2 linked regions of the Drosophila melanogaster genome follow. The protein of the gene in region 1 interacts with the protein of each later gene in a pairwise test. Each region holds a gene or a part of one and is shown in the gene's direction. Other genes may lie near its edges.

Region 1 (4,590 bases):
TAATAATTGTGATTATAATACTTTCTCATTTAGGAGTTCATGGTGCCTATGAATATCTTGTTAAACGAATCTGTGTGGCAAACGAATACTCAAGAGTACGCCAAGTACTTCATACCAATTGGAGACCGCGGATATAATTCTCAATCATCTACATCAGGAGTTACAAGGAATGGCATTATGTTTTTTACACAAGTTCATCAAGATGATATTGGATGCTGGGATACATCGAAACCATACACTCGAGCACATTTGGGAAAATTTCATAATATGGAAAACTCAAATCTTATTCAATTTCCAAATGATTTAAAAGTAGACAAAGAAAAAGATCAAAATGTATGGCTTATAAGTAACCGACTACCAATTTTTCTATACAGCAATCTAGATTATGGAGAAGTAAATTTTCGAATTTTAAAGGCGAATGTAAATAAGATTATTCGCAATAGTGTTTGCAATCCGGATAATAGTTATATTAATACATCAAAGTCAGCTTTTGTGTTGATAGAAGAAGGACAGTGTTTTTGAAAACTATGGTAAATAAACAATTACACAACAAAATGTTGTAAATTTTTGAACAACCTTGGTATTTGCGTCCGTTACAAATGATACTCTAGTACCTTTTTTGAAGGTTTGGGTCTAACAGATTTTTGCGCTTTGTTGTGTCCAAGCAATTAACTAAATTGACTAAAAGAATAACAGTTTTTAAACGTGTACGAGTTCCAAATTGGCATAAGATCGGACTTTTAAGAACATACGTATCTAAAATTAGCTTTCTAGCTTTTAAAATTTTAAAGATCACGAAATTAAAATGGACGTACATTGCTAGATCAACTTGGCTTGCGATTCTGCTCGAATATTCGAAGTATATTCTTTATGGGTCAGCAGTTCTTCCCTCCGCCATTCTAGTTTTCAACGAATGAATATTAGGGTTCAAATTCAAACGTGTATACAATTGTTTGTAATATATTTATATTTTTTAGTCGTACTGTGAAAGGTTATATCCAATTGTAAGAAGTAACAGGTAGGGAGCGTGTTCTTTCTTCTATTGTATCTTCAAGTTCGTGTTATCGTCATTAGTTTCCTCTGAAAGTGGTTTGATTTTGGGTGTACTTAATATAACATCTCTAAAAGAGAATATTACTATCTATAAAGAAATATCGAACATCAATGGATATATGTATATTCATGTTACAGTATTTTCTCGAGATATTACTTTGAATATAATCAAATTTGGGCGATGTTAACTTAAAGATGGTTCGCACTTTACTCATTCGTAAATTTAAGTTTTAAAAACAAGGTATGTATGTAAGTGCATATAAGACACTGCGACTTATAACTATAAAAATAGTAAATAAAGTACTCCGTTCCAATAAAAGGGGCTCTCATCGATGCGCTTGTTTGCCGAACAAAGATGCTGTATACATACGTATAAATTTACGAGAAAATATTTTTGTATTTGTGAAAATAAATGTATTTGTGTGTGACTTTTAAATACACATTTCCCAAATTGCTGTATGCGAACGAGCCGATAATCAAGTAAATAAGCATGTGGACAGTGTGGAAGCTATCTTTGATGTGCAATCATATTCTTAAAGGCAGGCGCATGAATTCATGTTCATTCTATTGGCCTATACGGATTTTAGTTGTATTATTATCTTTCAATAATTCGATACTACAGTATTGTTTGCAGTAAATATTTTTTTAAACAAATAACATTGGGAAATAGGCAAGTGAAAAGATATATTTGATATATGTACGTGTAAATTATTATTATGGATATTAAAAAAAAGAAAAGTTAGTGTGGTCGAAGAGAAATTAACATTCATGTTGTATATGCTTCTCACTATGTATTACATAATAACAGCACCAACGAACATTATTTGAGTGTCTCTATATGTATTTACATTCAGCATAAAATGCGATATTTTATAACTGAGTGTGTTGCATGTGCTTTATTATAAATTACACCCTTATGTAATAATAATAATGCAGGACCTGCCTACCTGTTGAGACGATACAAATATAAATTCCTTTCTCTACATTTTATTATTATTTTATAGATTTGTACAGCTTTTAGATATGGATTCTACTTTAAATATTGAGGTAAGTCAAAAAACAATATTTAATTAATTAATATAAATATAATATTCACCTATAAAAAATTCAAAGTGCTTAGATTTTTTACAAGATTTTTTACATCTTTTACATTGTTATACATTTACTTTTGACAATTTTCTCAGAGAGAAAATGGTAATACATTTATTTAAATAAATTATTGTAATTATTAACTAAATATACCGTTTACGTTTTTTGCCATCATTTTTAATGTAAATAATAGTAATATTACCATTTAATAAATAGATAGAAATAAACTTTACAAACTCATATTTTCTACAATCTAAAGGAGAAAGAAATTGCTACAAAAAATGAAACCCAAATAGATTACGCTGATGAGATTAAAACTACTCCCCAAGATAATGATAATCTCAATGAAAAACTCTTGGTATCTTATATTGACAGTGGTTTTGATAAACCCGTCACTTCAAGAGATAATAAAGATGATGACGATCTAAAAATTGAAGAAAGCGAATCTGAAGACTGTAATTCAGAGAAAAAAAATACAACAGATTTGGAAGTAAACCCAGCTGCACTAATTGACAAGCCGTCTTTAGATATTAGCTCATCGGATATGGAGAGAACTGTTGAGATAGAAGACTCCGAATCCAATAACCCTATTATTATAGATGCATCTATTAAAACGGACCCATTAATATCTGTGGAAAATTTGTCCACCGTTTCTGAGAATAATTTCGAGTTGGACTTAATAGATGGGAGTACTAATGGTGAAAATTCATCGAATGCGGAAAACGAATCACCTGTTCAAGACACGTCGAACATTCTAATTAAAGGCGAAGATGATAAAGCTATCGAAAATTGCAAATCACAGGATACCACTAAATCTTCGTCGGAAAAAGTATTTGTATTTTTAAGAATAACAGACCTAAATTATCGCCTTCAAGCTTCAAAAATGTTTTTTATTTAACATAATATTTATAAAGAAAAAGTAAAGCAAATGTTGCCCTAACTTACCATATACCCTGCAAAGGCTACATTTATTTTTTACTTCATAAAGTCTAAATGTGTATTTGTAACTTAGTAACTTAGTCCAGGTACTTGGATCTAAGTCAATAATATTTAAAACATGATTTAGGTAAAAAAAAAATATTGTTGAAACGTTTTTATATTTTTAAAGAAATTCTAACAAGTTTAAGGAATTAATGTCCTGATTACTCGTAATCTTCAAAATCAGATAAAAGGCGGAATGGATTAGGATCTCTTTTAGAATTGTTGTCGCCATTTCCGCCTGTTTGTCCATTTAAACTTCAAGATATATATGAATATGAATATGCACTTTCAGCATTCTGATACCAGTGACATTTCTGCAAGTTGGTTTTAAAAGATTGGCCCTCATACTCCAACGTTCATCAACCGCGGAAACTGTCATCCCCACACTTTTGCATATTCTAAACCGGTTACTCGTGAAGTAAAAGGGTATACTAGATCTTTGATCAATATGTAACAGTCAGAAGGAAGCGTTTCCAACCATATAAAGTATATATATTCTTGATCTGGATCGATAGCCGAGTCGATCTGGAAGTGTCCACCTGTATGAAAGTTGACATCTCAGGAACTAAAAAAGCTAGAAGGTTGAGATTAAGCATACAATTTTTGTCTGTATACCAAAAACACTGTTGTCCGCCCATTTTTTCACCTACAAAACTATCAAAACGGACGCGCCCACATTTTTAAACAATGTTAAATTTTTTTTCTCATTTTATTCCCCAATATCTATTGATATCCAATAATAATTATAAAATTTCGGCTTCGCATTCACACTAGTTGAGTAACGGGTATCTGATAGTCGGCGAACTCGACTATAGCATTCTCTCTTGTTTTAAAGTGCGTTTTAAAAAATAATGTTGGAAATAGTCAAGCTTTATAACTATGTGCTTTTCGGAACCGGATACGGATAGGGGAACTACTCAGATATATACGAAAAACTCTGACTCTGCATGGGTATTAATCTAGGTATAACGCTTATATTTGAGCACAAGCAAATAATTATTTAAGCTTCTGCAGTTCTGCAGAGTAAATTTTGTCAAACATAAGGCAAAAGCCTACGACTCTTTGAACTGTGTTGTTTAATTGCATATGTTTAATATTATAATTGATTTATTAATTATTGTATGATTTGGTTTAAAATTTTGGAACATTCATTCAGCTGCACTTCATTATTTTAATACGCAGCTTACAAAAGTTTACTTACAGCTTCGTGCAAATCATACATTATCAATTTCGATTAGATCTTTAAAGTGTACTTTATTTTTAGAATGTCAATGACCCAACATCCATTGCATCTGATTTATCGGCCGAAAACACTAAAGCAGACCTTGTTTCGCTAAATGAACCGGTAAGTAAGACTATACACAGTTTTATAGCTCATTTCAATACAAATTCATGTGTAATTATTAAAAAATATAAACACGTCTTCATATTAACTTTTGTGACGTTACATTTTTAAAATATATATAA
Region 2 (3,274 bases), on another chromosome or scaffold:
TCGGAGCATGCCGTGCCTGGAGTCTTTGGTAAATGCCTGTTCTCTATTCAAGGTCGATTGGTCCAAGAATCTGAGCCAAATCAAAACCCCGGCCGACTGCGTTGGCTCCAGTGTGCTCCGGCAGCACCTGTTACGCCGCAACTACAGCAGTCAGTCTTCCGCCGATGATTGCGGGCGGCCAAAGGATTGCGATCAGGTATCGACCTCCAAGGGCTGTGGTCCTGCTCGGTTCAAGGGCACCATTTGCGATGCAGTCAAGGGCGGTAAGCGCAAGAAGAAGGAAGAGCCCAAGAAGGAAAAGTCCAACAAGCCGAAGCTGCCAGCAAAGATGAGGTCCATGTGGTATATACCCGACTGCGAGTACGTGCCAAAGTGCGATGTGCCAGTGCGGTACGACATCCAGCACTACCGCATATCGGACAAAGAGGCCCGCCAGTACCAGGTGACGTGGAACGAGTGCCCCCGGTTGGTGATCAAGCCCAAGAAGGTGTGCATCCACGCAAAGCGACCGCGTCCGAAGCCCTGCCGCCGTCAGCGGAAGACGGTGGTGGCCACAGCCCGTCCCACGATGCCCATGCTTAATCCCATGGAGTGCAAGAAGGCAGAGGACTCCTCACCCTGTCCGCGCTGGACTCTTCCCTGCTGCAAGCCCGCCCGTATTCCGCCCAGTTGCCACCGAGAACGCCGACCTACCGACTGTACCAAGCGCCCGGCGCCGTATCCCAGCTTCTCAGAATGCAAGCGGGAGGAGCTCACTAACGCACCACCTACAGAGTGCCTATGCCTTCGAGTTCCCATGGCCTGCGAGATGTGGGCGGAGCTGAGGCGAAGGATCGCCCGTGGCAAGGGGGCAGTCCTTAAGTGTGGCGAAACGTAGGCGGCGGCGAAAGCACAGTCATTCGACATCTGGCCACAACATTCCGGTCACTTTTCCAACTCACAATCCACCAAAATTACAGTTTTCCAAAATAGCCAATTCATTCCATTCGCACTCCACAATCCACAATCCACAATCCACACTTTCCAAATTCAAAATGCTGTTAAAACGCTGCGGGAAAACCCTAATGCCAGTCGTCGTCCGATTGGCCAGCTGTGCCAGCTCCAAGGGCGGCACCTCGGACTCCAAGTGCAACTCCAATTCGAAGGATAAATGCAAGCCGGAGCCCAGCTGCAAGCGCTCCGCGAAGAGGAAGAACTGCTCCAAGGTCCCAACACCATTCCCGAGCTACTCGGAGTGCAAGCGAAAACAGACTGACCCTAATCCTTCCAAGGAGTGCGATTGCTGGGACTTTGACAAGTGCTGATCCCCGGCAATTTGGATACCGGAGCTCCGGGGATGTCTCTCGCTTATGGCCCTCCCACATTTTCATTCCATAAGACTGAGGACTCTGTACTCATAATCCCGTTGGTGGCACTGGGAGCCTAGGTGTTTTGTCCATGTCCAACCTTTGCAGTTATCCTGGACGCCTATTATAAAGCTTTAATCCACGTCAAACTGACCGACGTTGAACGAAATACAAGAACTAAAAAAGTTTCAATCATTGATTTTTAATTAACTGGATGGGCAATAGGGTTCCATCAAAGATATTAGAATTTCTAGTGCCTTCGGTTCCATACTCGAATCGATATTTAATAATTCCATATTTAAGCTGCTAATGCAACATCATTTATGTACTAAGGAGTTTAATTTGCAGGCGGCGACCGATTGGTCCCGAAAGGCATATTCTTGTTACTTTTTTAATTTTTGAAAAAATAGTTTTCCGATAATCCGAAAACCACATGGGTATTCGACAGATCGAGTAGGCAAACCGTCGACAATCACCAAAAACCATGTGCGTATTTGAAAGATCGAATTTTAAATCTATCTAGTAAGCCCTGCATTTTCATTTCCCCACTAGTTTTTCCCAATACTTTCATTTTCATTCTTGGCTTTCACACATAACAATCTATATGTTCCGGTCTACAAAATTTAATATATGTTTATTATCTCTTCTGAAAACTTGTAGTTTACTTAAAAACTAAAAAAAATCAAAATCATAAATCAAATCAAAATAAATCATATTGAAACACAATGAATTCGACAAAAGCTTTGTTAAGCAGCAGGATAGTGGCCTTCGGACTTGAAAATCTGGTGACGCGTCGCGGAATGAAGCAGTTACGTTTGGATGAAATTCACTACAAACTCAACTCCAATCAAGAGCGAAACCACCAGAGAACTTGGCCACAATCACAGATGCAGCCGCAGATTGAGGAGCGCATGGATGACACCAAATACAGGCCAGGTCGTTGGACGGAGCGGAAATATCAGGCCACCTGGCGGGAAGCTGTCATCCCAAATGAGGAAGCCCATAAGGAGGCGAAGGACTCGCGTTCACAGGAGGAGCGACCCCACATTCGTGAACTCCGCCGAACTACCGACCCCAATAGGCGCCTCCAGAGGATCGCAATGCCTGCTAAACAATTCATCTCGCAGTTTATCTCCACCCAAAGCAAAAACAAAAGGCGTTACGTAGAAGCTGCATCAGATCGAATGGCGTTTGATGGATACTAGCTGATACACGGCTTGTTTTCGCTATCAACTTCGATCTTAACTATTGTGGATTTAATTTGCCTTTGCCTCATATGTTAGATGTCGAGTTTTAGTTTAAAGTCGAATAGGTTTTCTGTGTTGTATAACAGTAGAAACAAAATCAAATTAAATTTGCAATCTTTAAGATAATTGTTTGTTTGTGTTTTATGGTATTAAGGGGTTTTTGATGGCGTTTTAAAAAAATATCGTGTGTAATTTATGCACTTTTGGGCAGGTAAAGTCGAAAAAACATAATTAATTCCATTAAGCAATTATTTAGCGGTGCATGGAGAGAATGCTACAGTCGAGTTACTCGACTATCAGATACCTGTTACTCAGCTAGTGACAATGCGAACGCGTAATATCGTTTTTTTTTCTGGCATATTAATAGATATTAGGGAGTAAAATGAGATAAAATTAATAACATTGTTCAAAAGTGTGGGCGTAGCAGTTTTAGGCGTCTTGAAGGCGTTAGAAGAGGCGTGGCTATGTAAAAAAATATAACAGCATTTTGCAAAAGTGTGGTGACAGATTTAGGCAAATCGATAGAAAAGAATGAAAAAATATCAGAACATTTTCCAAAAGTGTGGAAAAAGTGTGGCAGCATGGGCCAACAAACATGTGCTGTTATCGTTATTAGTTCCAGAGATCGAGGTTTTCATAAGGACAGATATATATACATATATACTTTTTAAGGTCGGAAAC

Evidence for each region.
Region 2: the proteins of CG1674 (region 1) and CG18449 interact in a two-hybrid assay, tested with the Drosophila melanogaster proteins (one large-scale study listed by BioGRID).

Annotation. Positions count from the first base shown.
Region 1 is NC_004353.4:229,878-234,467, forward strand, and holds the start of CG1674 (uncharacterized protein), read left to right. Parts: upstream 1-1,548; 5' UTR 1,549-1,723; exon of another isoform or gene 1,724-1,750; intron 1,751-1,972; exon of another isoform or gene 1,973-2,057; 5' UTR 2,058-2,076; coding exon 2,077-2,100; intron 2,101-2,401; coding exon of another isoform or gene 2,402-2,971; intron 2,972-4,387; coding exon 4,388-4,468; intron 4,469-4,590. Other genes in the region: yellow-h, read left to right, coding at 34-522.
Region 2 is NT_033778.4:8,366,606-8,369,879, reverse strand, and holds CG18449 (uncharacterized protein), read left to right. Parts: upstream 1-1,952; 5' UTR 1,953-2,071; coding exon 2,072-2,551; 3' UTR 2,552-2,717; downstream 2,718-3,274. Other genes in the region: CG2127 (uncharacterized protein), read left to right, coding at 1-877.